Linked DNA regions of Arabidopsis thaliana. The protein of the gene in region 1 purifies or fractionates together with the protein of each later gene. This does not show direct contact. Each region holds a gene or a part of one and is shown in the gene's direction. Other genes may lie near its edges.

Region 1 (10,304 bases):
CTTCAAATTTTTGAGTGTTATTAGGAAGACGAACCTGAAGAACGCCCATGACAAGTATGGTTATCCCGAGGCCTTTGTGCTTGGAAACATTATTGGCCTTGAGCCGGTTTTCAAGAACCAAACCGCAAATGACACCAGTTAAACCGAGGAGAAAACCAGTGGTTTGGAGAGCGATATGGGCATAGAACCAAGTGGGGTCCCATTGCTTCATATGTCGAGCCACTATGGCGCCAACGATAATCAATATTCCCCAGCCGAACATGTTCATTAGCCCATGTGTCTTCTTTAGCTTAGAGTGTGGTGAAACTTTAACCACACTTTGCGAACCTTTTACATTCATCAATGGAAAACCAAAACATAAATTAGTCCAAGCAACTACGAAACAAGAAGAATTTCTAGATTCTAATACAAACTCATGTTCTTTTATTAAGTTTTGTACCCTCCATATCTTGAAAATTTTTAACACTAAGTTTTACTCATGAAAAAGTTAATCTGTTTTTTCACTGCATCTCACAATCATCAAATCAAACAAACCAAAATAGACAATGATGAGATATTAAAAACAAAAGACCTGTACATCATTTTGTTTTGTCTTTATTACCCGAAATATTGTTGAATTGCCATTTGGTACAAAAATCAACTAAAACTTAATTACTACTCCAAGCTACAGCATCTAGACTTCTAGAGAGTCCCATAATCTCATAATGTGGCTAAATAAATTCAATCGTGTTTTTTGACCAAAAAAAATACAATAAGAAAATTGGAAATTAGTGTTTTGGAAACTATATGAGTAGTAGTAGCAGTAGTTGGGCAGGGTCGGTATAATGTGAAAATGACTCCAACAAAGAATAATGGTACAATCTTGAACCAGTTCCTAATCGTCATCATCGCATGTGTTTAATTTGTTTTGAATTAACTTAGAAAAATATTATGTTGTTGGAAGGCTTACCAAACTAGTGGAGATATAAAATGATTAAGCAGTCAAATAATGGATTAATTCAAGATTGACTTTAAATAATTAGTCAAGCTGGGTTTTGCTTACCTGTATTATAATTGATGGTCGTGGTGGTCACGAAGCGGTGCTCTCTCAACCTAAAATCCGGCGAAGATGGGAAGAATCCGGCAGGTCCCACAGCGTAAAGAAGACTCTGCCGCGGCAGCGTCGCCGTCAATTGAAATCTCATGTAAAGACGCGACGACACTGATTCGATCTTCAACGAGCCGTTGACGATCGTTAGATCTCCTTGGTCAGGATTAACCTCTCCGGGAGATTTCCCACCGAGCAAGTACGGTTTCACAGTCCCGGAACCGCCGTCGGAAGGTATCCAACCAACGATCGCGCTGCTTCCGATCATCTGACCGTTGGTAGAGAATCCGATCCCGATGAAAGCGCTTGAATCCGGCGCCGATAAGATAAAGCTCCATGTGTTCTCTGCCGTTCTTGCATACTACGCGTGAATATTATTAGAAATTCGGTTTCAATATTTTCAGAGTTGGAAATTTGAAAATTAGGAAAATTGACTTACTCGGAGGATGAAATTTTGGGGAGTCCAAGCTTCGGTGCATTGAAGGAGGCTGGTGTTGAAGGTGAGGTCGTTGAGAGGTAGAGTTGAGTTGCAGGAATCTGTAGCAGCTTGTTGAGCATTAACTATGGTGGAGAGAGCAATTAAGACGAAGATGATGATGGAAACAGAATAAAGCTTCATGTTTTGTTCTCTTTCTCTCTCTCTGGATCTGAAAGATGAAAGAGAGAGGAAAGTAAATGACTAATGAAGAAGGATCATGATGATGACGACGACAATGAATTGTATATATATATATATATATATATATATATATATATCTTGTTTATGAGATAGTGTGTGTGAAGAAGCAGTTGAGAATTCAACTAATTTTAAAATTCTTTGTATCGTTAGAATTCGTTTTTTTATATCATTATTATTACTAATCTGGTAAATAAAGAGCTCTGTTTCATTAAGAAAGAGTAAAAATCCTTTCGTTCTGTTTCTCTGTCTCTCGTCGGCTTAAGATGTGGAAAAATGATTGCAATGTACCAGCTAACTTAACATGTTTTGATCATTTAAAGACAAAAATAATAAACTTGATTGAAAAGGACAAAATGATAAATCTCTCTTTAATTTTTGGAGTACTTGCTACGAATCCTAGCTTTTTCACGACCAGTATCGGTCTAGTCAGTTTAAGTTTCAAGTCAACTGGTTATTGATTGCATCTGCCGCATTGTGTTTATTCATTGATCGACCAATGGGATTTTTCAGACATACAGATAATAGTATGTACTACTATACATTTGCCTTTTTGGTGTTATTACTTTTAGTACTTGGATTCACATAAATTTTGTAACAACTGGCTTCTATTAGCTAGACGGTCTATTTCCCGTCTAATTCAAAACCAAACTTTGTAAGACAGATGAAAGGAGCAATGAATTTGTAATCCAGTTAAGCTAAAATGAGATGGTAACGTGATTGTTACTCAAATCTCTGGTTTGGGTTTTTTACACTTTCAGGGACCAGAGAAAACAACCGATCCTGACAAAAGCAATATCTGTTATCCTACACACACACAATATAAAAGTCATTGACATACCACCGCTTGTGCCATCTCAACAAACACCATTTCACTAGTCTATATGGGCTCCATCATCTGAACAAGAACCATTCAATTGTTGGCTTTTGGCATCAGCAATCCTCGCCGCACTTCAGTCATGTAATCCGTTGGCGATGGAGGAGGTAATGTCTTGTTTGCTGCAGCCAGGATCTGTAATTGTTTTGACACAAAACAAGAGATGGGGTCTCATCATTCATGTACTCACATCTTTAGAAAAACTAGAAGCATATGATAAGAGTTTGAAGTTAGTTCCACCTGATGAGGTAGTTTACCCCAAACACTCCCTCCATAGTACATGATTGGTCGCACTGTGAAACAGAGAAAGTAGGCAAACTTGAAAATCAGTTATACTTGACTAACCGGAAGACAGAGATCCAGATAAGAACATAGATATATCTGATTGTATTTGGAGGCAACTCAAGCAGCACAAGTATAATAGACACAAAGGACAAAGGAAAACTTAGAATCCCTTAATCTCACCAGATAGATCCACAGTTGGGTCGTCGTATTGATGCATTTCAGCTGCCCATCCTGTTCATGACAAATCAAGAGCACGTAAATAAGACAAGTACATAAAACTGACTGCATAAGCAGTGAATTCAACACACCTTATCTATTAAGTTCAAAGATTTCTAAAACTAGCACTGACTCAACAAATGCTTAGCATAGCAACAGTTGATAGAAGAACGACCAGATAGTGATACAGAGCAAAGAATAAACCAGCTAAATGTTTAAAGAGATAGTTCAGATTTATACGTTGGCTCATGAGCTGATAAGCTGCACTCCTGGAGCAGTCCTTTATTGTTATTATCCTCTGGGTCTGGGATATGTTTTCCATCTGAAGACCAGTAGCAGGAGGCTGATTTCTCTCATTATCGTTGTTCTGTTGGCTACTTGTTCGATCTGCATTTCACTCTTTATTTAGCCAAGAACCATAGCATACTAGCAAAACCAGATATAGCTTGAACGACGATTTATTTTCAAGAAAACAGGCAAACAAATGGGTCAAGTACACACATGGAGAAATGAATCAACCAGCGGATTTGCTAATAAAGAGAGAGCGAGATCTGAATTTCAGGCTAAACTCCTAATAATTCACTTTCTTAGAAACGGTTCTTGAAGTTACCAACTATGCACAAACACAATGTGTACAGATTCGCATGCAATCAATTCCTGAATCTACAAAACAAGATTACTTCTATTCATCGACAATCTTTGATCTAAGCTATAATCTCCACAGAACTAGATACTCTCGGAATTAAGAACCGAATTGATTAAGAATCAATAAAGAACGACTGAGGCAAAGAAGACAGAGAGAGAGAGAGAGAGCTCACATACCTCCCGACTTCCGGCGATTCCCAGAAGCCTTCCTGTGACACGGAGAAGCAACATCGAAAGGTAAGAACGGAGTAGCGAAATCAGTAGAATAAAGAACACTCGAAATCAGCAGATCAAAGACCACTGAAGAAGAAGAAGAAGAAGTTACCTTTGATTAGGAGGAGTGTATCGATTCTGATTGGAGCTCGAATCCGCCATTGACGAGTTAGGATTTACGCAGTTTTTTCAGAGAACTCTCTCTCTCTCTCTCTCTCTCTCTACCGGAGGAGATCTGTCAACAGTCAACTGTTTAACGCATAGAGAACGTTGAAAAGCGTCTTCTCGTCTGAAGTCGTTCAATCTTCACGCGCGAATTCTTCGACGCGTGTTTATCAACCTCTCGCGCGCTTTTATTACGCCTTTCCGAAATTAACGTTTCGTGTTCAATTTCCGGTTTGCTGAACCAACTGTATGTAGATTTCTGGTTGAAACATCTACTGGTCCACCATTGGACTTTATGGGCCTTACTACATTTTTGGGCCCAATATTGTAATTTAGCTGATGGATCCAAAACCGGAATCGGATCTGTACCCGCTCCATCGTGAGGTCTCTCACAGCGAAAGAAGGGTTTTGAGGGTTTTCACACCTTTCGCTGTTTCCTCGTCAATTTCTTTGTTTGGTTGTTCTTTCTTCGCATCCAAAGATGAAGCTCGTCAGGTACTGTTTCGTTCTCAGTTCTTCTTTTCTTTAGAAAATTCATGTTGTTCTTAATCTTAGTTAGCTCCTGGCATGGAATCCATTCCCAATATTGAGCCTGAGCTGATTTGTGTTATATGGTTTTGATTGGATCGAGTAGGTTTTTGATGAAGTTAAACAATGAAACTGTGTCTATCGAGCTGAAGAATGGGACTGTGGTCCATGGAACCATCACTGGTAAGTTCTTATTGTTAGCTTCCGGTTTCTTTGTAGCTCTTCTCATCTTTTCTTCTCTCTCGATTTCTCCGTTGCTAGGTCTTATACAAGTCGCGATCTGTTCCCTTATTTTCAATTGGCCCTAATCGCGTCCTTGTGATCACATGAATAGGTTGAGTAAACACACAGTTAGAGCCAGTAGTCATAAAGGTATATTTATTGAAGTTTAAGCTTGATGATTTGGGCAGGTGTTGATGTGAGCATGAACACTCACTTGAAGACAGTGAAGATGAGCCTGAAGGGGAAAAACCCAGTAACACTTGATCATCTTAGCTTGAGGGGTAATAATATTCGCTACTACATTCTTCCTGATAGCTTGAACCTCGAGACTTTACTTGTGGAAGACACTCCTAGAGTTAAACCTAAGAAGCCTGTTGCTGGTACTGCTTCATTCATTTTTGGTGTTTGTAATATTCGTCTTCATAAGCTAAAAGACTTCTTTATCAGTCCATTTATTCGTTCTCTCTTTCTTTCTTCTTTAGGGAAAGCTGTTGGACGCGGTCGCGGACGTGGCCGTGGGCGTGGTCGCGGCAGAGGTCGTTAGATGTAGCAGCGCTCTGGAACATGTTGAAGGTTTGTGAGTTTAATTTTTAGGAGAATGTACGAGTTATGTAACTAGCAACTCTGGCAAAGGAAAGATTTGATTGAGAAATAGTATGATTGATGCTCTAGTAAGGAGTTACTTTGTAATGGAATTCCATGGATAACAAGATTTGGCTTTACATGTTATAAGAGCATCTACAAGTAGAGAATTTGTGTGATACTGATAGCTCAAGACTTTTTATTCATTTAACAAATCTGACTATCAAATTGCATTAACATGTTGACAATCTTAGTATAGAAAAACTGCTATCTCCTCCGTTAATCTTCCACATGAAACCTATCTCACATGATCCTGCAATTGGGATCTTGATTGTAAACGGGTTCCCCGATCTGATTGTAGGGATCACACGGGTAGGGATAGGAAGATGGCACACCATATCCATCATGAGGCCATGGTTGATAACATGGCTCAGGTTTTTGCCATGGTTGACAACATGGCTCAGGTTTCTTCTCTTCAGGTTTCTTCTCTTCGGGTTTCTTCTCTTCGGGTTTCTTTTCTTCTTCTGGCTTTTTGTCACCATCCTTAGGTGGTTCAACTTTAGCTACGCTAACAAGCTCCGCAAATGCAACTTTTTTCCTGAGTGTGTTGATTAGAGCAATCATATCGACTTCAACACCGGTCACCTCAATCTGGTTCCTGTGATCTCCCTTTATTTCCACAGCGTTCACGCCTATAAACCAATGCGATAAATCTTTAGATTCAACAAGAATTACAATCATCAAGTTCTCTAGTGTTTGTATCATTGTTACCTTTAAACTGAACCGCAGTTTTCATTGCCTTTGCTCGAGTTGTGTCATCAGTCATAGCAATTCTTATCAGGATCTTTTGCTGAGTACAATAAGAGAACTCCTTAACATCACAAAGAGAAGTCTCTCTCTTTCACAAGAGAATCGAAGTTATTACTTGTTGTTGAGTACACAGGAGACATACCTTCATGTTATTGTCTTCTGAGAATCCGCGTGATTTGTTTGATGGGAGTTTGCTCCGAACTTTTTTGTGTCTTCTTCGATCACAAATTAGAGGAAATATAAATAAGGATCGATTTTATATATTCATTTGTTCCATGAGTCGTTGTCTCACACAACGGAATCCGATAGTTTGAATATCGTTGTCAGGTTCATATCTTCGGTCCTTACGTGTTTTATTGGTTCTAGTTGCCGATTCGTACGAGCTTATTACCAATTTTTTAATTTTAAAAAGCCTAACAAAAATCTTTATTTGATTGAGTCAAAAAATTAGATGAAATAGTTATTTGACTGGGTCAAAATAAATTGATTAAATAATGGTAAACAACACAAATAATATTTGTTTACTACACCGTTGCCTGGTAGTTTTAGACATGTATGGCAAAAGACTTAATAATTTTTGAGTCGATATGTCAATTATGATGATTAATAAGTTTTGTTTGTTCATCATCCAGTTGTGCATAACAATGAATAGAACAGATGCGTTAAAAGTCTTGGTCTTCTCTAGAGTACATGTTTCCCTCTAACTTCCTTCTCAATAAAAAAAAAGATTAACTTGACTACTAATCTGTCATCCATCTGTATTAACAAATGTTATATGCTTGACTTGCAATACGTACTTTCGCAATCATATTGCAGTTTTCTAACGTAATGAAACAATAAGCTTTTAGTTTATACTAATGTGTGTTGTCTAATGCTAATTTGACTTTAATTTCTTAACACATTACACATTGATGATGCCAATTGCAGTGATATCAGCAACTTGCAACCGTTTGATCCAATGATATATCATAGGTAATTAGGTATCATATCTCATGGAGATAAACGGGTAAATAAATATAATCTTATTTGCTAAATAAAAAATAATCAAGTTTAAGTTTTAACATCTTCATATACAATCTGGTTTCTGTGATCTCCCTGTATTAGCAAAAAAAAAACATGATTTAAAAAAGAATTTGGAAAGAAAAGAAAAGAGCGGGAAATAAATCCAAAGATTTGACCAAGTTAAACCAAAACTTTTTTACTATCTGAGAAAACCATTCAGTTTCCCCAAAATAAAATAAAAAATCAGCCTTAAATCCCGTGTCTAGGGTTTTCTTTCGTAGCTGATTGGGGGCTGCAAGAGTTTCGCCGAGGACGATTGAGAATTTTGATTTTCGAAAAATGGATTCTGTGGAGGAAGAAGGTGTTGTTAGGGTTGAAGAAGAGAACGGACGCGGTGGTCTCCGTAGGCATCGGAGGGTTTCTACGAAGCTGGCGAATTACGTAGATCCTCCGACTGACGACGAAGAAGATGGAGGACCCAAGCGAAAGGGCAAAAGGGGTGGAAATAGGGCTCCGAAAAAGACACCGAAGAAAGACGAGGAGATGCAAAAGAACGAAATTGATGAAGCAAACCGAGTCACTGGTCTGGTGAAGGAAAAAAGAGCCGCGACTAAGATTCTGAATCGCAAAGACTCCATTATTGAAGTAGGAGAAGCTTCTGGAAGCATGCCCAAGGAAGTAAAGGGAATTAGGATTGGGAAAAGGAAGGGAGAAATCGATGGTGAGATTCCAACTAAGCCGGGCAAGAAGCCAAAGACTACAGTAGACCCGAGAATCATTGGTTACAGACCGGTTAGTGATTTCTCTGTAAAATTTGTACTCTTTTCATACCTTACATGACGACCAATTCATTAATTTTGGGATATATTATATAGGACAATATGTGCCATCAATGTCAAAAGAGCGATAGGATTGTTGAACGGTGTCAGACCTGCAATAGTAAGCGTTATTGTCATCCATGCTTGGACACTTGGTATGATCTTCTTCTTACCTTGAACTTTAATTTCGTTTCTTGTTACTGATTTCATTTTACTGTCCAGAAGCCTGAAACATTGGTCTATTTACTTCTTGCAGGTACCCCCTTATAGCAAAAGAAGATGTTGCCAAGAAATGCATGTTCTGCTCTAGTACTTGCAATTGCAGAGCATGCTTGCGTCTAGATACTAAATTGAAAGTAATTTTTTCTCGTATCTACCATATCTTGCTTGCTTATTATTATTTTTCGATTTACTTAAGCTCCTTACCATAATAATTACTCCTATGCTATGTAGGGGATAAATTCGAACCTCATAGTCAGCGAGGAAGAAAAGGTCCAAGCCTCTAAGTTTATTCTGCAGAGCCTTCTCCCACATCTGAAAGGAATAAATGATGAACAAGTTGCTGAGAAGGAAGTTGAGGCCAAAATATACGGTACTTTCTTTGCTTTTATTTATGATTGGATATTCGTTATTATTGGATATACCTGCATTAATTCCCAACAAAATCTCAAAGTGAGTGGGTTCAATTTTTTAAGTGGGAAACTGGAAGCTCATTAGTTCCAGGAGTTTGAAGATACCTTAATGTTGTTTAAACTCACAGGACTGAAGTTTGAAGAGGTGAGGCCCCAAGACGCTAAAGCTTTCCCTGATGAAAGACTATACTGGTATATTACCCTGATATTTTTGTTTCAGTTAAAATGACAAGTTCTTATGTCTTCATGCTGTTTGATAACATGCTTCGTTGTTGTTCTAACTTTTTGGGCTTACAGTGATATCTGCAAGACTTCTATCTATGATCTCCATAGGAATTGCAAGTCCTGTAGTTTTGATATCTGCCTTAGCTGTTGCCTTGAGATCCGCAATGGAAAGGCTCTGGCATGTAAGGAGGATGTGTCTTGGAATTATATTAACCGAGGTTTAGAGTATGAACATGGACAAGAAGGAAAAGTGATTGAAAAGCCGGCGAATAAGCTAGATGATAAGTTGAAAGATAAGCTGGATGGTAAGCCGGATGATAAGCCGAAGGGTAAGCCAAAGGGTAGGCCAAAGGGTAAGCCGGATGATAAGCCGAAGGGTAAACTGAAGGGTAAGCAGGATGATAAACCGGATGATAAGCCAGATGAGAAGCCGGTTAATACAGACCATATGAAGTACCCTTCTCTGTGGAAAGCAAATGAAGCTGGGATCATTACTTGTTGTTGTGGTGCTGGGGAGTTAGTGCTGAAACGACTACTTCCGGATGGTTGGATATCTGAGTTGGTCAACAGAGTTGAAAAAACTGCTGAAGCTGGCGAGCTTTTGAATTTACCTGAAACGGTTTTGGAGCGATGCCCTTGTTCTAACTCTGACAGACATATTGACATAGACAGCTGTAATTTGTTAAAAGCTGCTTGTCGAGAAGGTTCAGAAGACAATTATCTTTACTCTCCAAGTGTATGGGATGTTCAACAAGATGATTTGAAGCATTTTCAGCACCATTGGGTAAAAGGCGAGCCTGTGATTGTGAGAAATGTGCTTGAAGCTACATCTGGTTTAAGCTGGGAACCAATGGTAATGCATCGTGCCTGCCGCCAGATAAGCCATGTCCAGCATGGATCACTTAAGGATGTTGTTGCTGTTGATTGTTTGGACTTCTGTGAGGTCAGTTTTTTCCTGAGTAAATTGTATTGTCCATGTCCTTTTTATAAAAGTACTTAATTTTAATGGCTCTGGTACTTGCATAGCAATTAATTTATTCTTGTCTAGATAAGTAAGTTCATGTTTTTCCCTTCTGGCTTGATTTCTGTTTTACTGACTGTTCAACTTTGTTTTTCTCATCAACAGTGAATATAATTATTCTTTAGCTTTTTCCAGGGTTTTGCCTTTTCTGGTAGATGCATTGAATAGCTACATGTCAAATTCATATTAGTCTTACTAGGCAACAAAATGCCTCATCTGTTACTTTTCAGATTTGTAGTTGTAACTTCTTCTTATACTCGTATTTATCTAATGGCTTGTAATGGTTGCAGGTAAAAGTTA
Region 2 (10,304 bases), on another chromosome or scaffold:
TCAGAGGAGAAAGCGTGCCGTTGAAGGTTTGTGTTTTTGGTTTTGATAAAGTCAGGTGGCGTGTAAGGTATATTTATAGGTAGGGTTTTATCTTAACGTTTACTGTTTGTCTTTTTCGCCAACTTCATTTTTCCATGTGTCAATAAAACATGTCTTACAATTTTTATTTTATAATTGTCGGTTTCTTACCCGAAATGTTTTTTTATAGGAAAATTTGTGTTAGGTAATTTTGCAATTTCATTTACAAAATATAGCACGCTCCTTTTGAGATGGGCTAAAATCGTTCCAAAGTTTGGGCTTACACGCCTAACCATTGGCCCACTCCAGTTTACTTCTATCTTTCACCAAACTAAGAAACATTGATCCTTGAACAAAAAGTAGTATATGTTTATATGATGACAAAAAAAAAAGAGTAGGAAATCTATGATTCTATAGGAGTGTAAATGAATAAGCTGTGATAAATTTAGGTTATTTTTCTTAACGATATATATTGTTAGATCAAATTTTATAGTTACATCATTTGGAGTATAATGTAAATATGTTCCGCTTTATAATAATGTAAATATGATTTGTAATACTAATGAGAACACACGCTCATTGTCTTCCAGTTCAAGAAATATCTTAAACCCCACTTTTTATCAGCCACCTGAATTTGAGTCTTCCTCTGCCACATAATAAATTGTTTACATGGACCAATTCTTGGTTACAAAACATCTGATATCATATCGTGCAATTAAGAAGGTATTAAATGATGTTTTTTTCTGTGGCATTTGTATATACTTTCAAGTTTCGACCAATTCTATAAGTTAAGAAAAAGGCATTGAGGGAAATTTAGGTTAGAAAAAGTACACAACGATCCCAGCAATGGGAAGTAGCTATCACTTTCAGTGACCCTATTTCTCTGAGTGGGCAATAACATTGTAGGCCCCATTCTGTGGAAAATCCACTAACTTCAATGTCTGCTCTCATTTTCTATTGTCTCCTTCGCTGTTTTTTTACAATTTACGTTACCACCAAAACTATTCCTTTGTTTAATGACGAAAACGCCACTCTTTCTAAGCAAAATGTCAGAGAATTTTGTTTCTTTGTTGGAGAGTTGAAAATATTTTTTACATAGAAAAAGAAACCAATAATGCAGTCAAATAATAATAGGAAGCAAATAATAATGCAAGTATCTCTAATTCTCTATATCAAATTGTATTCAATCATATTCACCAGATGTAACCTCTATAATGGAACCTTTTTGAATATTAAAATATCATTAGATCCTATTCTTACAATGTATCAATCAATTACTAATTAATTTTCTCTGGTTTTCTTGATATAACAATAACGTTAAAAAATCTCATTGTTAATCTCTTTATGCCATCATTAGTATTGTAAGATTTTGTACACTTTAAATTGTAAATTTGATCTTACAGAAACAAAAGATCTACAAATCTTAGTTACAGAAGATAATGGTATTAAACTATACAAATCTTAGTAGTTTAATATTATTAATAATCAAAATTATTCTAAATTAGAACTTTTACAAAATAAACATTTATCAGTCGCTTTCATAAATGTCAAACAATAAAAAAAGAAAAAGAATCAAAGATCTAAAGAGTGGCATTTTTATGACGTCACATTGAAATCCAACCGTGTAAATTCTTTTTTTTTCAATATAAGCAAATTAATTCACACGTTTTGTGCGCTGTCTTCGAAACTAAATCATTTATAAAAAAGACAAAACAGACAAGAAAATACAAACTGTCAAAAGAAGATTTTATATTGGTTGATTTGAAATCTCTCAGCAAAGAAGAAGAAGAAAGATTAAAAAAAAACAATCCTTTATTATTTTTCATTTCAACTCCAATTTTGATTATCTGGGTTTCGAATATTCCTCATTTTCTCCAATCACAGGACGAAAAGTAATCATCTTTTTGTCTTTTCTTCTCCGGCGAGAGACTACAATGGACTCTCCGGTATCAAAAACCGATGCATCGAAAGAGAAATTCGTGGCTTCACGACCATCAACGGCTGATTCAAAGACGATGAGAGGTTGTGGACTCGCGAATCTGGCATGGGTTGGTGTAGATAAAGTAGAGCTTCGTCAGAGGTTGATGATGCCTGAGTATCTTCGTCTCGCTATGCGTGACTGTATCAAACGCAAAGATTCCTCGGCTATTCCTGATCATTTACTTCTTCCTGGTGGTGCTGTTGCTGATATGGCTCCTCATGCTCCTATGGTTGTTTTCATTAACCCCAATTCTGGTGGTCGTCATGGTCCTGTTCTTAAAGAGAGGCTTCAACAGTTGATGAGCGAGGAACAGGTTTTGCTCTCACTGAACTTGTATTTCAAATCTTTTTCTTTGGGTTTTTGGGGGAATTTCGAATCTAATTTGTATCTACTTTGTGTTTTGATTATGTTAGTTTGGAAACTTTCTTAAAGTCTCTGGCTTTTAAGTTTTTAATGCTTGATTTATATGTTTATGCTTAGCTGATGTTAGATCTAGTGTTTTGTTGGAACTTTGAAGGATGAGTTACGTTTAAAGATTGAGTCTTTTGGAAAGCTGAGTGATGTTGATGTTGTCAAGTTATTGGTTTGAGCTTTTGATATTGAAACTTCATGGTGACTTTTGTGTTGATACAGGTGTTTGACCTCACGGAAGTGAAGCCGCATGAGTTTGTTCGATACGGGTTGGGGTGTTTGGAGAAAGTGGCAGCGGAAGGAGATGAATGTGCAAAAGAATGCAGAGCAAGGTTGAGGATTATGGTGAGTGTATTGACCATATTTTTCTCCAATCTCTATAGATCCACTTGAATGTTTTTAGCAATCAGAATTGTGAATGGAATTGGTTGGATAGGTTGCAGGAGGTGATGGTACTGTTGGTTGGGTTCTTGGATGTCTTGGAGAGCTTAATAAAGATGGAAAGTCGCAAATTCCTCCTGTTGGAGTTATTCCTCTCGGTACAGGGAATGATCTTTCAAGGAGTTTTGGTTGGGTGAGTTGTGTTTTCTTTGTTCTCTCTTATGTTGTCGTGACAAAACTTTTGAATTGGTACTGACTATGGTATCTCTTCTTCAGGGTGGTTCGTTTCCTTTTGCGTGGAGATCTGCTGTTAAAAGAACACTCCATCGCGCAAGTATGGGTCCAGTTGCTAGACTTGACAGGTAAAAGTCTTATTTTGCTCAAAACATTTAGCTTTTATTGTATTTCTCTTGTTGTAAAAATGTATGCGCTTTGGTTATGTGGTGTTGCAGCTGGAAGATTTTAGTGTCAATGCCATCTGGAGAAGTCGTAGATCCTCCTTATTCTTTAAAACCCGCTGAAGAAAACGAACTTGATCAGGTTTTGCTCTATTTCATTAGGCTTGCTTCTTCTCATTGAATCATCAGCATGTGATTTTGTAAATTGCCACGGTTTAGTAATTAACCAGGCTTTATGGTGGTTTCAGGGTTTGGACGCGGGAATTGATGCGCCTCCACTTGCAAAGGCTTATGAAGGTGTTTTCTACAATTACTTAAGCATAGGTTTGTTGAACTTCTCTTTTTGATATCCTAAACAATTTTCACAATTGTTTTTCTGACCAGATTCTTGTGTTTGTCTGGTTTGTTTAGGTATGGATGCTCAAGTTGCATATGGCTTCCACCATCTTCGCAACACTAAACCATATCTTGCTCAAGGCCCTATTTCAAATAAGGTTTGTTTATTATATTTGCACCTAAACTTTGGACTCATTATTTGTCTTTGTTAAAAGCTAAAGTAGTTATGTTGGTTTTGAGAAACGACATTACCAACCACACAATGTTTGCTTTTGCAGATTATATATTCAAGTTTTGGTTGCAGTCAGGGTTGGTTTTGCACGCCTTGTGTCAACGATCCAGGTTTAAGGTTCGCCATTTCGACTCTTATTGTGTAGTTGAACTTGTGTGTAAGTCTCTGCTTAAGCCCTTTGTTGTGTTGTTGACCCCTTGTTTGTGCTATATGAATTTGCAGGGGACTTAGGAACATAATGAAAATTCACATCAAAAAGGTTAACTGCTCTCAGTGGGAAGAGATCGCAGTCCCGAAAAAGTAAAAAACAGTTTTCGATATATGATTTATGTATTACAATCTTTGATATCAATGCTTAAAACCTGATGCTATGGATTTCTCTTGTAGTGTGAGATCAATTGTCGCATTGAATCTTCACAGCTATGGAAGTGGAAGCCATCCTTGGGGCAATCTAAAACCGGACTATCTAGAGAAGGTATTGTTTCTGTTCCATTTCATCATATATGAACTCAGTTCTCTGATGTTAACCCGAATGTTTTCTTTGGTTTTTCTCAGAGAGGCTTTGTGGAAGCACATTGTGATGATGGTTTGATAGAGATTTTCGGTTTTAAGCAAGGATGGCACGCGTCATTTGTCATGGCTGAGCTCATCTCTGCCAAGCACATAGCTCAGGTAACTTCAAAAGACACTGGTCAATGTATAATCTTTTTAGCCATGTGTTTGACTGTTTCATTTTGGTGATCATTTCAGGCTGCTGCGGTAAGATTTGAGCTAAGAGGAGGTGACTGGAGAGACGCATTCTTGCAAATGGATGGTGAGCCATGGAAGCAACCAATGAGCACTGAGTACTCAACATTTGTGGAGATCAAGAAGGTTCCTTATCAATCTCTGATGATAAATAATGAATGATTGAGATTCAAAGCTGGATTCTTTGTACAAAGCTAATTGTTTTGTATTTGGATTTGATTCAGTTAGTCATAGATATAGCCTAAGCTTTTTAGTCTTCTTTTCTTTTAAATCTGAGATTGTGACCATTTTTCTCTTTTTAATTTCTGCTTATTGTTGGTTTTGTACATTTTTGTGTTGTGAGGAATGAAGTTTGTTTATTTATAAGAATGTGGGAAGATAATATTTGGTCAAATTTCAATCTCTCTTCAATCTTTGTAATTCTAGCATTGAGCACATAGATGTGATTCTTTGTCATATTTTTATTTATTTTAACACTAGTTCGACTGAGAACCAATTTATCATCGACACCAATTTCTAAGTAAGAATATTTTTAATAATTATCATTATTAGTCGTATATTTTTACCAGAATAATAAAAAATTAAAAACCTAAGTTAATAAACCACACAAAAAAGTTTTTCTCTCTTCGCTCTCTCGTAGTTTGTAAAGATAGAAACTGAAATTTCTTTTGTTTTTGTTAACCGGATAGTTTTCCGGTGAGTCGCCGTCCCGTTTAATTCGGGCTTTCGTCCGACATCTTCTAGCTACGTTAGTGGAGATGGTTGGCTTTTTGTATGGCATCGTTGGCTAACTTAGCGACGTTGGCCAGCTTCCGTACGGCAGCGTTGGGCTTACACTAACAGCGTTGGTCATCTTTGTTTTTGTTTTGTTACTTCAAAGGTTTGATGATGAAGCTTTATGGCATGCAGAATCGTCAGATCTGAAGAGGGTTTCTCTTTACAAGATCTATTCTCCTTCTGTTTTGTTTAGCTTCACTATTGGGTTATGCTTTTGGCTCTGGTAGTTTTTCGGCGATGTGTGCGTTTCCAGCAATTACCCTCGTTTGGATCTACCATATTTAAGACAGTTTCAATTTTATTTTCGCCTAAGATTGGGTTAAAGCTTCTATCCTATGCAAATTTGATATGCCTTTAGTGCTTTTGCAAGAGAGTTCGAAGATTCAATGGTTGGACAAGTTTGAACTACTCAATTTTTTTAATTTCTTTACCCGTTTTGATGAATTATTTGTGATTCTAGCAACCATATGAGATTAGGAAATTGATGTTTGTTCTATAACATCTAATTGCCATAATCGGTGATAGAAAAAAAGAGTTTCATTGCTCGGTGCTTTCCCGGCGATGGTTCTCCGATTCACCAGACTTGAGTCTCATCCGGTGGAGGTTGTGGAAGATTCACGTGTCCTTAGCTTATTATTATTGGTCTGACACGTCTTAAGCTTATCTCTTTTTTGTGACGTAAAAGTCTGTTGTGGACCTCATATGTAGACTGTCTTGAGCCTTTTATGTTGTAACACTGAGCCTCAGTATATTAAAAATAAATCTTTCTCTGAAAAAAAAAAAAAAAAAGTTAAAAACCTACGCTAAAAAATTCTAGGTCTTGGAAAAGAGTATTTGGGCCAAATGATCACATTAATTAGTTATGGGCTGAAATAACATTCTGAAGTTTTATGAGGACCGAGAGAACTAAGTTTAAGAAAAATGTTGAAAAAAGCGTATTAGCAGAGGGACAAACGCTTTTTAGGGTTTTAGATTTCCTCTGAGAGAGAATTTTCGAAAGCTTGAGAGAGATTTCCAACTACGTTAGCCATGGCGAGCACCAAAGTTCAAAGGATTATGACCCAACCTATCGTACGTTTCTTCTTCGATTCCTTTGTTCCATCTCTTTATTGTTTCTATCGAAACCTAATTTTGTATCTTGCTTTTTGTTTTCCGGTGGCGGCGGCTCCAGAACTTGATTTTTAGGTTTCTTCAAAGTGTAAGTTGTTCAATTTCTTCTGATTTGCTCTCTGAGGTTTTAGGTTATTAGTAGTTCGTCTACTGATTTGTTCCCTGGTCTTTTGTGTTTGTGATGCAGAAAGCTAGGATCCAGATTTGGCTATTTGAGCAGAAAGATTTGAGGATTGAAGGAAGAATCACTGTAAGTTGATGTTGAAGCTCCGTTATCATGAATTGATTAGATTCCTGGCTTTGTTTATAGGACATTCGAGGGTTATGCTAACTTTAGGAGAGTTTGAAATGCATTAGCAGTGTGACTATCTCTCTAATTTAGTCTGTGTTTGAACTGTTGCATTTGTTGTGAATTGAAAAGGGATAGTTGTCACTGTTACTACTACTGCACAAAGAACTGATAAGAGCCTGCCAATAGAAACTAGTTTGATTAGCTAGCTGTTCTTAGGTTGAGTATGATTGTGTCATTCTCTTCGGCTTAAAACTTATTGTCTCCTACAGCCTACTTGGCTTTGGGTGTTACTTGTTTCAGTTTGTTGCTATGCTTGTAGTTGTATGTCCTCTATGATTTTCGAGTTATGATTCAAGCATTCAAGCTTTTCTTAGTTTGATTCTATGATAATTTGGAGAAACTTGAGATTTTGTGATGGTGTCATTCTCATTGGCTTAAAGGTTTGAGTTGTCTACTTGACTTTTGTTGTTCCATGTTGCAGTCTACTTGACTTTTGTTGTTCCTCGAGTTAAGATCCTAGCTTTTCTGAGGTTGATTATATGTATGGAGGAACATGATATTTGTGATAGTGTCACTCTACTCGGTTTTAAACTTAGATTTTTGTCTACTTGAATTTGGGTGTATTATTGATTCTTCTAGGAGAATCCATCAAACCTTGCTTATCCGTCGTCCTTTGCAGGGTTTTGACGAATACATGAATCTAGTTTTGGATGAGGCTGAAGAAGTGAGCATCAAGAAGAACACCAGGAAACCACTTGGTGAGTTATCCTGAACTCACTCTTTGATAACAAGTCTCAGATCTGTCTGCTTATGGTTTGATAACTCGTGTTAATACCTATTTTCAGGAAGGATTTTACTCAAAGGAGACAACATAACTCTGATGATGAACACGTAAGTAACACAATCTCTACTCTGTCTTCTCTCTTTATGATGTATAGCAGCTTGATTTGTCACATAACAAAAGATTGAAACAAAATCCTTTCTATGTTAACAGGGGAAAGTGATGTCTGTCTCAAACAACTCTCTTCGATGACCTTCAAGCTTATGTTAAATATCTGTTGAGTTCTTCCTCAGCTTAATTGGTACTTGACGATACCTTCTTTTCTTCAATGTCGTATAATATATTGCAATGTAGTGAGTGACAAAGGAGCTTGATCGAATCTAGTGGATTGGTTGGTTAAAACTTCAAAAAAGAGATTTGGTCCCTTTTGGTTAAATCTAGTGTTATGTAATTTGGCTGATCTTTGTTGCAACTTTTTAACCTCTGTTTAAATTTCAAACCTTAAAAAAGTAAAACCAATTGATTTTGATTATAAAAAAAATTGTATCATTTTTGTTTGTTTGGTGAACTGACCGAGTTGGCCATTCTCAGGGCTCAAGTAGATTGAAAGTTTAATTATACTAATAGACCAATCAGAATATAATCTGTTAAAGTTAACATAAAAATACAGAAATCTATGTGAACATTAACTTTTCATTGCAATTAGATGTTTTTATATCCATGTTGATTGTTGAATCTTATCCCTAATCTTGCTATTGGTGAAATGAATGTATTTTTACTATTAAAGTCTTTTTTTAATAACAAATAATTGGACTTTATACAACAAAGTATTATTATTTAATTATCAACTTTAGAATATAGCATGTGCCAAAAATACATACACTAGCCGCCGGCCCAAGAATGTCGTCCAATAAACGAAAAGCAAAAGTGACGGCAATCCAAGCCTACTGTGATCTTGTCCGCACCCGATAACTATCTTTAATTACTAAAACTAGTCAAAGTACTCGACTAATCACAAAACTAGACAAGTGTTTCAAGTAAATTAATTTTTGATCTTTTCATTTTATCTCTCTCTCTTTTTCTTCTATCCAAAACACCATTTTTGAGGTATTTTTCTCTCTCCTTCGAATCGAATTTTCAGGTTTCTCTTTCCGTTTGTTTGAAGAAGCTTTTAAGTAGAATTCATAAAATCTTGCTTAGCTTCTGGGTTTGATTTGTTTGTGGTAAAGTTTTGATTTTTTTTTTAGTTTGAGAGCTGGATTTGTGATTCTTTCTCTGGGTTGGTGAAGTTTTTTACTTGCTTCGATCTTATAGATCAGAGCTTCTAGCAGCGTAAAAAATGCAGACGAGGTATATGGAGAGGACTAATAGTATGAGAGAGAAGAGAAAATTGGAGGAAGATGATAATCAGCAGCAGCAGCAACAGCCTGAGCGTAAAAGGCCAGCTCTTGCAAGGTAATTTGTGTTGATGCTTGTAATTTTTCTGATTATTGATTATGGCGTTGTTGAATCTGTAATTGATTTGTAGTTGTATGAATGAAAAAAGGGTTGTTATGTATATTGATTGTCTGTGGATTTGAGAAAGTTGTGTATGTGTTATTGCAGTGTAATTGTGGAAGCCTTGAAGATGGATAGTTTACAGAGGCTTTGTTCTTCTTTGGAACCGATTCTTCGCCGAGTGGTTAGCTTAATAAGAATTGTTTACATGTCTTTTGGTGCTTTGTGTTGTTTCTTTGGCTTACTGATTTGTTTTGTGAGCATTGTCAAACAGGTAAGTGAAGAGGTGGAGCGGGCATTGGCAAAGCTTGGCCCTGCAAGACTTAGTGAAAGGTAACATATGACTGTTTTAAAAAGAGATAAAATTAATGGTTGGAGTATTTGTGGTTTTCTTCTAATGCTTGAGTTCACAGGTCGTCTCCAAAACGAATTGAAGGTATCGGTGGAAGGAATTTGCAGCTACAATTCAGGTCTAGATTGTCTGTTCCTTTGTTTACTGGAGGGAAGATAGAAGGGGAGCAAGGTGCTGCAATCCATGTTGTACTGTTGGATATGACAACTGGACATGTTTTGACAGTAGGACCTGAAGCTTCTGCAAAGCTTGATGTTGTTGTGCTTGATGGTGATTTTAACACTGAAGATGATGATGGTTGGAGTGGAGAAGAGTTTGAGGGTCATTTGGTGAAAGAACGTCAAGGGAAGAGGCCTCTCTTGACTGGTGATGTGCAGGTCACGTTGAAAGAAGGTGTGGGAACATTAGGGGAACTTATCTTTACGGACAACTCAAGTTGGATTAGATGCAGAAAATTCAGGCTGGGTTTAAGGGTCTCTTCGGGTTACTGTGAGGGAATGCGTGTACGCGAGGCAAAAACAGAAGCTTTTACCGTGAAGGACCATCGTGGAGAGTGTAAGTTCTTGCTTTCCTTTGATATTAGTCATTGATGTATCTGAATCTTTGTTTTTCTTTTGCCTAATGTTTTTTTTTCCTACAGTGTACAAGAAACATTACCCACCTGCTTTGGATGATGAGGTCTGGAGGTTGGAAAAGATTGGAAAGGACGGGGCTTTCCATAAGAAACTCAATAAAGCAGGAATCTACAATGTTAAAGAATTCCTGCGTCTTATGGTCAAAGACTCTCAGAAACTAAGGACTGTGAGTGCACGATTTAACTATCCAGTATCTTACCAAGATGTTCAAATATTATTATTCATCATGATGACTCTTACTCTGATTTTCAGATTCTTGGAAGTGGCATGTCAAACAGGATGTGGGAGACACTTGCAGAGCATTCCAAGACATGTGTATTGAGTGAAATGCTTTACGTCTACTATCCCGAGGACTC
Region 3 (9,935 bases), on another chromosome or scaffold:
CATTATTTATGGAATATATGATGAGGCTAGGTAGCAACAAATAATAAGAAAATGAGAAAAGCATTATACAGTTTTGTACTAAACTACACATTTGCAAGCTAAGAAGGAAATAAATTTTGACATGTGCTTGATGTAATTTATGAGTTGTCAACTTTAAAGTATATAGCTAACTGTTGATGAATGATTTATCATTAACATTTTTAAAAAAAATTAGATACAATTTGAAACGTGTAATAAATGATGAGCATATATCCATACATTTTGTTTGTAATGGGTTTCTGATTTATCCACACTTCAGTTTCTGCAAGCTGTGATGTTAGACATGATAAAATCACACAAACAATTCAGAGACATACAAAATCAGGATTGTGAAGCAGGATTTAAAGTATATAGCTTAGTTTTTTTTGTATTTTTTTTTAACAGCAAAATCAATATTCACGTTTTAGACATCAGAAAATGAAGCAGGATTTGCAAGTTTGAGAGTTAAAAGTCAGTCATTAACAAAATCAAAATCTCAAATGCATCCACGATTTATTAATACAACATAAATAATGCAATACGATCCAAAAGAAACTACAAAAATAAAATTTAAGGTTCGGTCTTCTCAAAAAAGATCAAGGTTTTGTCTTCTTGGTATGTCCATCATGAAGTTTCTTCTATGGGACGTTCTTTAAATTTGCATGATATAGATCAAGATGGGTTGTTGCCATATGCGAGGATGATGTTGAATTGCCTCTGCTGGACCAACGTTTCAAGGACACTAAAATTTTAATGTCTTTGGCAGGACCGGCTATAAAATTTTGGGGTCAAAACTCAAACAAAATAATTTAAGATTATTAAAAAAAAAAGTGGAGCCAATTATCGTAAAATAAAAGTATTATTAACAGTATATTGAAATTTTAAAGTCTTGAACCACACTTTTGATCATATGAGATAATATGTTTTGGTGGTGTTTTAAGAGCAAAACTAAAGGAGATGGGAAACTCGATATTTGGTCGATGTGGGATGAGTGTAGACAACTTCAAGGCTGTGAAGATCCCAACACCGGCTCTTACTCCATTTCTTTTCAAAACTAGTCGATACATTCTCATACACAACTTATTATTAATAGGTTTCAGTGTTTTACATCAACCAATTTTATATTAATCGTTTATTTATATTTATTTTGTTGTCGATGAATCGGTATTAGAAATTGAGAGCTTGTGGCATGGTATATCTGTACATTCAAGTATTACAGTGGAGAAATTTTTATTTTGGACTGATATATTGTTGTTATCCCGAGCTAAATTTGTAAATAGGAAACACAAATTGAAACTTATAAAGTAAATCGCGAGAAAAATCAATTGATTATTAGAGAAATACTAAACAATCTGAAATGCAAATCGTTCGCTCAAAGTAAGCTCACGATTACACAACGATCAACATAGACTGCTATTGCTACATCACCAGAGTATTTCTTTGTCTCTCTCTCAACAATCTAGAAAAGCATAAAGCTTATGAGATGTAAAGGTAGAAAAATTTAGAGAAATATTTATCATTTTTCAATTAAAAATATAATAAGAGAAAAATGATAATGCATTATGTTTAAATAATATATATATATAAAGAAAAAAATTTAACCTTGTGAAATTTATAATTTTGTTAGTCTAAATATAGTATATGTAGATAAAATATAAAATTAGTGAGTATAATAGATGTGTCACCACTTACCACTTATTACCTAAATTAAATTCATTATAATGCATATTGGTGGCAGAAAAATTGTATATGTAATGCTGAAAAACAAAATGGTATATGTAATATCATTCGATAGAAACAATTCGAACAATTGGCCGCATTAGAACTACAATGACATAAAAATGTCTTCGTCATTTTAATTTTTTTCTTATCATTTTTGATGTTGTGGTGAAATTTTAGTGTAACTTTTAAAATTTATCGATTGGTGAAATCAAAAATATTTGATCAATTGGTTAGACGCTAAATATTTGATCAATTGGTTAGACCACAACAAAAATATTTAATTAATTGGTTAGACGATTGTAAGATATTACATCAGATTAATAGCGTCTAGAGAATACACTTCGACGAAAAAGGAAAATCACTTAAAAAAAAAAAAAAAAATACACTTCGACGAAACATGTCAATAGTCATATGAGTTGGGCCTTATAGTTTATTGGGCCTGAGTAGATTATTGGGCTTAAAGGAGTAGTAAAAAACAAGAAGACGCTAACACTAGACTTCCAAAAATCAAAACTTTAGGGTTTCAGAGCAAACTCTGTCTTCTTCAAGCCGAGAGCGAAAACCCTAAGCTCAATTCCGATTTTGCAACTATGAGTCGTTCAGGTCAGCCTCCGGATCTTAAGAAGTAAGCCCTTGTTCTTATTTCTCTCTTTCTGTTTCTATATCTTCGTGTTTCTGATTTAATTTTTGTGCTTAATCTGTTGTTTGTTTTTGTTTCGTTCGATGCAGGTACATGGATAAGAAGCTCCAAAGTAAGTTCAATATCTTCATCTTCTTTTATCGATAGTTAGGGAACTTCAGTTTTGTATAACACATTAGCTGAGATGTGATTGCAACTTTATTCTGTGAATCGAACTGGATTTGGTATTACTGATTTTAGTTATAGTGTCTAGAATCGAACTCAAAGTAGTTTTTTTTTGGTGATTGTGTTTTGATTTTAGCAAAGAGTGGATTTTTTCTTGATGTGTTGAGATTGATGAATTGTATTTGAAATGCAGTCAAGCTTAATGCTAACCGAATGGTTACTGGAACTCTTCGTGGGTTTGATCAGTTCATGAATCTTGTTGTGGATAACACTGTTGAGGTGAACGGTAACGACAAAACCGACATCGGGATGGTGGTAAGTCTCTCGATTCTGTGTCCCTTTGTCGTTAATCTTCTGCTGCTCTTGACTGATGTTTTACTTTGGTTTTGGGAGCAGGTGATTAGAGGAAACAGCATTGTCACTGTTGAAGCTCTTGAACCAGTGGGCAGATCTTCTTAGCTCGTTATATTCATTGGTTATGATCTTTTTGTACTAAGCACTAGCTATGAGAAATCTTGGTGGTAGATTCGCAGTTACGATGAATTGATTCTGTAAGAAGTCTACATGAATACTCTTTTCTTGTACTAAAAAGATTGCAATGAACCCCCACCGATGAATGTGATGGCTTGTACTTTTCACTCTTGATACAATGCTCAAACCTCTATTAGTCATCTTCTTAGCTTGGTTTATGCATCCATAGTCATCTTTGTTTTGGTACTAAGCATTAGTTCTGAGGAAACTTGATGGTAGATTTGCAGTTATTATAAATTGATCAAGAAGTCCACATCAATATTCTTGTGCTTTTACTCTGGATCCACTGCTTTGATCTTATATCTTCATCCCTTCTGTTAATGCTTAGTTGCTCTTTTTCTCTTTTTGTAATGAATGAGACTTTAAAGAAGACAAAAAATGCAGACAATGTAAAATGCAAAGAACATAAACAAGTCTTACATGTTGAGTTCATTGCCGAGAGGCTCCCATTTATCATGAGCGATTAGGACGACATCGATTTCAACCATGTTGACACAAAGTTTACTGAACTTGAAACAGAATGTGTATCAAAACTTGAAAATGTGATTGTGTCACTGTCAAGCACATAACCTAAATTTTACGATCTTTCCCAAAGCGCCAAAAGTAAAGCGGACAAGCGAATTCTACGAAACCAACAAGCCGCCACTGTGAGTGTCTCTCTCTCGCTCCCTCTCCCTCCCTCTCCCTGAAAGATTATCATGCTTCTTGTGGTGAAGCTGATGGCTTTTCCTTGATTTCAGTACATTGCAAGTCTTAGTCAGGCACTGGCCTATTGTCATGGAAAATGTGTGATTCACGGAGACATCAAACTTAATAATTTGTGATCATGAGGTATATATGGTTAAAGTGTTTTTGCATTGAGAATTCGGGATATTCATTATTTGCAGCTTCTTGTTAAGGATCCCTCAAAACAACTTTCCGTGGATTGTCAAGAACGCAGATCCGAAAGCTCAATTGGGCCTATTTACAGGCTTAGGCCCATATACTACTAGATTCATCGGAAGCGAAACAGTGAGCGTCGTTGTCTTTTTCAATAACCTCTGCTTCGCCGGAAAAACAAACAGACGACGACTATTGAGAGCTAAAATCCGAGATTAAGAATGGCGAATCAAGGAGCGAAGAAACGAAAGGAAGAGAACGCCAAACACATGGCTAAGCTCCGTCGTATCATCATCGCTTCCAATGTATTTTCTCCTCTCCCATCTATACGTTTCCCAGATTTCTACGATTTTTCGCGATTCTTCATGAATTGAGAATTGGATTTTGTAATTTATGGTCACAGGCTGTGTATTTCGTTGTGAGGATGTTGATTTTCTACTCAAGCTTTACTTGGAAACATTGGATCGGTTTAGTGATAACTTCGCTGGCTTACGCGTTTCCTTATAAGCAGCTTGATCAAATGGCTAAACCTAGTGTTACTGATGATGGTGAGCTTATTGATGGTGGATTTGACATGACCACTGGTGGAATCTGCGGGTACGTTTGTGTTAAATGAATCAACAAGAACCAAAAGCTAGCTTCTGTGTTATGGATTTGCATACTATGATGTTTGAGTTATGCATTTTGAATCATATGATGACCTTTGCAGATATTTGCACGATGTCATCTATATCACTTGCTTTGTTCAGCTAGCTTCCATCATCACTGGGAAGTTTTGGTACACGTATCTTGTGGTATGCGTGTTTGCTTAGTTAATAAACACAAATTGATACATAGAATTGGATTGAAATGATGTAACTTTTGTTTGGTTTTTAGATTCCTGCGTTTGGAGTGTATAAAGCTTCTGGTCTTATTCGAGGATTCATGTCACAAGGTTCAGAGGTAAATCTCATTTAGTTTTAAGTAGTATTAGCTTCTTTACACAATGCAAAAAGCTTTACTCTGTCTCTGTGGCGTTGAACTGTAGGGAGGTGTGGAAGATGAAAAGTCTCGTAAAAAGAGAGAGAAGATGGAGAGGAAAGCTTCGAGAGGGCAAGTCGTCAAGACGAGAACAAGATGAATGTGTTGTTATAGAATACAACATGAATTTGGGGATGAGTATGTTCTTCAAAATATACAAATGTGTTCAAAAGGTAAACTCTCTAAGCTTTCTGAGTCTCTTTTACATGGACATGTCTGCGTGTACAATATTTACTTTGATGGGGAATAGTCATCGAGTTGAACACAGTCGATTCTCTGGAGATAGATGTTTTTTTCTTTGAGGTCGTAACCAATATTATAGTATTGTTGAGCCATTAGCCCTATAGCTGTGAATTCCTTATATTCCCCTCCATGTTCTTTGGTTGGCTTCACTGACATACAAAAGACGTTAAACGTATTCGGTTCTGATAATGGATAAAACATGCTTGTGGCCTCCATAGCCAGCTCAGCTCCGCCTGCAAAATGAAATGTCACCACAGGGAAGCCTATGAGCTCTTCGCTCACTCTCCCATGGTAGCACAAGAAGTCTCTAAACCAGAATCTCTCTAATTTTGGATCCAGAATGGATTTTATTTCATTGTAGAGTTCTCTGTAGGCTATATCTGCTAGCCAAGTGTAGAGTGTGCCCGAGTCTAGTATGACCCCTGTTCTTGGTCCTCTTCTTTTGAATACCACTGGTTCGATATTGAGTTGTGTATCCCCAACACTAATCCCTTCTAGATTCATATAGTAGATACTATTCTCTGTCTCAAATTCAATGGGTGTTGGATCGCCGAGAATATCCGCGTCCTCTCCCAGAACCAGCTGATTGTAACCGTAGTTTTTGTTAGCTAAATCACCAATGCAGTAAGAGAATTTAGACCCAAGCTGTACGGCAAGTGATGTGGGTTTGGCTCCTAACCCCAAAATACCAGTGAAATGACTTTCCAACTGCTCTCCATTCTCGTAGCCACACCCAAAAGCAATAGGTTGGGTCACAACAGTGTTACCGTTAGGTGTTGTGAAGGTTAACCGTTCTTTAGCTAGAACGCCTTTTGACCCAGTGCCGCTTATATACACTTGTTCGTAAACACACTTGTTTGATGAGCCGCAATGTCCGTTTGGTGCATACCTGCAAAAACGATCATCGCAGGAACACTCTACAAATGTTGAAGACAATGCTGGATTGAAGACAGGATGGATCATATGATCTGATGAGCAGTGTTTGCAGGGTTGACATTGGATCCATAAAAGTGAGCTTCCAGTATCCATGATAGTTAACTGCGGCACCGGTGGCTGTCCTACGGAGAAATTCACAAGAAACAATGATGTTTTGATTGCTTGTTCCACATCAACTTGGAAATTGCTGCTGCCTAGCTCTTTGTCAATCGAATTCTGTAGATACTTAAACCGGGCTGATGAAATATCTGTCAGGTGTTTGATATGGTCTTCTGGAGTGATCGGAACTCGAGCATTTGGGTTGAGACGGGCCACTGATTCACGGTGTATCAGCTTCATCGCCATTCGGTTAGGTTTAATGGATTCTGTTACTACAAAGTATGATACAGTGATGAAGAGTAAGAGTGAAGTTTGGAAAGAACATTCCATTGTTGTTGAAACGGTACAGAAACATGGACTTGGGGGATTACAGAGACCATTTTGTAACCTCAAATAAAGATTAAGTTAGGGTAATAGCATCAAGACTGTGATATGAAGAAGAATATAAAAGATCAAAACACAACGAATTGATGACAACAAATAATATCCAAAAACAACCAAAGATCATGAGACTATAAATAGCAAAAGTTTGTTGGGGTTATGTATATAAAAGCTATCATGTACTTTACATCTTTTGTTGTTTTGTGTTATGTTTTTTAGAAAAATAAATTGAACAAAAACAATTAGAAGTACAGGTCAACATATCATTAAGTTGTTGGTCGGTAAATTTTTTGATAATAAGACATGAATCTCAGAGTTTGACCAAAAATTGCTTTCACAGGACCTCAAATTTTACAAATTTGGATAACAGACCAAAACCAACACATTTAAAAAAACCTTAATATATACATCCAAAATATTAACCATTAGACCCAGAATCTCAATTTTTTCAAAGGTTTGATAACCATTTACATGTCTATATCATCTCAAAAACAAAAATTGAAGTCATGGGGATATTATATCTGTTTCTTTCTGTGTCCAAGATTTACTACCTTGGACCAGATAGTTCCATGGCGAATGAATCTAACGCTTGATTATCATCTTCATCTTCAAATCCTGAGGAGCCAAACAGATGTTTGGTTTGGTTGTTGCCATCAGTAGAGGTAATAGTCCTGTAAGACATGTTGGCATGGTAGAAATGTGAATGGTCATGTGAAGCAGCCCATCTCTCAGCTAATCCATCTCCTTCAAGCATCTGAACTACTTCAGACATTTTGGGTCTGTGAGCTGGAAGAAACTGAGTGCAGAGCAGTGCCACTTGTAGCATCTCTCCAACTTCTATTCTATCGTAGGTTGTCCCCAGTTCTCGGTCTACTAGCTCCTCTACTTTCATTTCCTTGTGTAGCTTCCTCACCTGCAAAACTCAATTGAGTTTTAAGACTATCTTTTGATTATACGTTTGATCTAAACTTATAGTGATTGCTTACCCATTCTAGCATAGCTCCTTTCTGGCTAACAGACTTGCCAAACTCGAGAGCTCTCATTCCTGTGATGAGCTCTAGCAAAAGTATACCGAACCCAAAGACATCGGTTTTCTCAGATGACTGACCGGTGGAGAGATACTCAGGTGCAATGTGACCAACAGTTCCTCTAACCGCGGTTGTGACATGTGAATCCTCGTGGTTGAGTAGCTTTGCTAGTCCAAAATCCCCAACAACTGCTTCAAAATACTCATCTAGGAGAATGTTTGCTGCCTTGACATCTCGGTGAATAATCTTGGGATCGCATTGCTCGTGTAGATAAAACAACCCTCTTGCAGCTCCAATCGCTATCTTCTTCCTTGTGTTCCAGTCCAACGCTGGCTTAGCTGTAACAGTAACAAAAATCAGTTCAAGTGATTTCATTTTTTTTTTTACTAAAAGCAGTTATCAGAAACCATTTTTTTGACTACCTTTGAGCCTAGAGGCGACGCTGCCATTGGACATGTAAGGGTAAACAAGAAGTCTTTCGCTAGAACTCGCACAATAACCGATTAACCGAAGCAAATTCCTATGAACAGCTAAGCTGATCATCTCAAGCTCAGTACGAAACTGTGAGTTCCCGGAGGTTCCATTCACATCTTTCAATCGTTTCACTGCAACCACTGTCCCATCCCCGAATTTTCCTCTGTAGACATTACCAAACCCACCAGCACCAAGAATACTCTTGGAACTAAAACCATCCGTAGCTACATGAAGTTCCCTGAATGTGAAGCTTCTTAGATTTCCCAACCCAAGTAACCCTTCCTCTTGCTTGTCTACATAAAGAACCAAAACAAAATACTTTAGACAACAAACAAAATCAAATTACATAAACCATAAGCTTACTCGATTTGACTAACCACTAATGCGAAGCATCGTTAACCGTCTTTGTTTCTTTCGATACCAAATGAACCCGAGAGAGAGGATTACACTAACAGCAAAGCCAAGGCTTACACCAAGTGCAACTGCTAATATGTTGGTTCTACGTCCTACACATCCCAAATGGTATCTAACTCATAAGCAATGGATTAAACAATCGACGAAAAGGCGAGCAAGATTATTGAATTTAAGGATGGATTTACCTGATGAAGAACGTAAAGAGACAGAAAGAGGGCTTGCACTGATTGATCCTGAACAAATCTCCGGTAGGCTGTTTTTACAAATCAAAGGGTTCCCAGCAACACTACATTCAACAGTGAAAACACTTAGGAAAAACTCAATCTTTGACAATAACACAAGAGACCAAAAGAAAAGGTATTTACTTGAATGTCCTTGCAGGAAATTTAGGAACAGGACCTCTGAGATTGTTATAAGACAAGTCTCTGAAACCAAAACATCAAAAAACATGAGTCTTTAAGTTAAAAAGTAAGAAAAAAATTCAAACTTTATATACTCACAAGAAAGAGAGGTGAGGGATTTGAGACAGAGAAGCAGGAAAGGGCCCAGATAATGAGTTGTTGTTCAACCTCCTAATCAAATCATTACACAAACGTACGAGGTTTAAGTTAATGAAGACGAATCTTTGATTGATTAAAATCTGAAAGAGAGAGAGAGACTTACAGATATTGGAGATTACTCAGCTGGTTAACAGAACCGGGGATTTCACCGGAGAACCGGTTATTGGATAAATCCAGAGTCTGTAATTTGGGAAGAGAACAAATCTCCGGTGGGATTTTACCGGAGATGTTATTGTTCTGTAATGACCTTCAAAAATCCAAAAAACAAAAACAGAGTTTGAAGAAACAAACAAAGGAGATACTTTTGTTTAATGAGGAAACAAACAAAATAATCTTACACTTGTCGAAGATTAGTGAGATTTCCAATAGACCCAGATAAAGTTCCTGAAAGAGACTGACTTGGAGCTCCTCTGGAATTGGGAAAAAACAAAACAAAGATGAAGAATTTGTCACCATTAATGACTATGAAGACAAAAGCAAAGAAAACTTACAAGCCAATTACGAGGTTGTCTGAAGAACAAGAGATCATAGTCCAGCTACAAGGATCAACAGAAAACTCATCCCAGTTTTTGAAAACACCATGTGGATCATGTAACTCGTTCTTTATGTTTATCAACGCCTCCACTGTAACAAAGAATCACTCTAAATCAATTATTGGGTACATAAAGTTTGAAACTTTCGAATACCCATAAGAAAAAAAAGAGTCTTTTCTCGTTTTTTGTTGCTTTGCTTACCTTCAGGGTTTCTGGGTTCAGAAGAGAGAGAACAAGTAACGAAGAAACATAGTAGTAACAGAACAGAGAATATCTTCATTGTTATTAACTT

The links.
Region 2: the proteins of AT3G07590 (region 1) and AT2G18740 fractionate together in Arabidopsis thaliana (co-fractionation; one large-scale study listed by BioGRID). This does not show direct contact.
Region 3: the proteins of AT3G07590 (region 1) and SNRNP-G fractionate together in Arabidopsis thaliana (co-fractionation; one large-scale study listed by BioGRID). This does not show direct contact.

The regions. Positions count from the first base shown.
Region 1 is NC_003074.8:2,418,501-2,428,804, forward strand, and holds AT3G07590 (Small nuclear ribonucleoprotein family protein), read left to right. Parts: upstream 1-4,550; 5' UTR 4,551-4,645; coding exon 4,646-4,659; intron 4,660-4,798; coding exon 4,799-4,875; intron 4,876-4,953; exon of another isoform or gene 4,954-5,089; coding exon of another isoform or gene 5,090-5,102; coding exon 5,103-5,294; intron 5,295-5,396; coding exon 5,397-5,458; 3' UTR 5,459-5,487; downstream 5,488-10,304. Other genes in the region: AT3G07570 (Cytochrome b561/ferric reductase transmembrane with DOMON related domain-containing protein), read right to left, coding at 35-327, 1,043-1,448, 1,527-1,706; AT3G07580 (uncharacterized protein), read right to left, coding at 2,677-2,775, 2,881-2,933, 3,106-3,156, 3,382-3,528, 3,964-3,995, 4,112-4,161; AT3G07600 (Heavy metal transport/detoxification superfamily protein), read right to left, coding at 5,800-6,188, 6,268-6,346, 6,449-6,454; IBM1 (Transcription factor jumonji (jmjC) domain-containing protein), read left to right, coding at 7,648-8,100, 8,184-8,281, 8,383-8,482, 8,580-8,718, 8,887-8,950, 9,056-9,926, 10,295-10,304. UniProt on the Arabidopsis thaliana protein: Involved in splicing regulation.
Region 2 is NC_003071.7:8,117,024-8,127,327, forward strand, and holds AT2G18740 (Small nuclear ribonucleoprotein family protein), read left to right. Parts: upstream 1-6,197; 5' UTR 6,198-6,310; coding exon 6,311-6,352; intron 6,353-6,452; coding exon 6,453-6,479; intron 6,480-6,578; coding exon 6,579-6,641; intron 6,642-7,362; coding exon 7,363-7,441; intron 7,442-7,528; coding exon 7,529-7,574; intron 7,575-7,677; coding exon 7,678-7,687; 3' UTR 7,688-8,055; downstream 8,056-10,304. Other genes in the region: AT2G18721 (uncharacterized protein), read left to right, coding at 1-83; DGK3 (diacylglycerol kinase 3), read left to right, coding at 1,953-2,312, 2,633-2,755, 2,847-2,984, 3,068-3,153, 3,244-3,331, 3,438-3,513, 3,601-3,683, 3,804-3,874 and 4 more; AT2G18750 (Calmodulin-binding protein), read left to right, coding at 8,804-8,919, 9,070-9,145, 9,236-9,294, 9,375-9,868, 9,954-10,114, 10,201-10,304.
Region 3 is NC_003071.7:10,180,023-10,189,957, forward strand, and holds SNRNP-G (Putative small nuclear ribonucleoprotein G), read left to right. Parts: upstream 1-2,228; 5' UTR 2,229-2,330; coding exon 2,331-2,365; intron 2,366-2,469; coding exon 2,470-2,492; exon of another isoform or gene 2,493-2,738; coding exon 2,739-2,860; intron 2,861-2,941; coding exon 2,942-3,004; 3' UTR 3,005-3,348; downstream 3,349-9,935. Other genes in the region: AT2G23940 (transmembrane protein (DUF788)), read left to right, coding at 4,177-4,260, 4,359-4,552, 4,665-4,749, 4,832-4,897, 4,983-5,075; AT2G23945 (Eukaryotic aspartyl protease family protein), read right to left, coding at 5,207-6,583; AT2G23950 (Leucine-rich repeat protein kinase family protein), read right to left, coding at 7,182-7,547, 7,621-8,000, 8,085-8,429, 8,514-8,642, 8,736-8,836, 8,916-8,975, 9,051-9,122, 9,214-9,357 and 3 more. UniProt on the Arabidopsis thaliana protein: Probable common Sm protein, is found in U1 and U2 snRNPs and may be part of the spliceosome.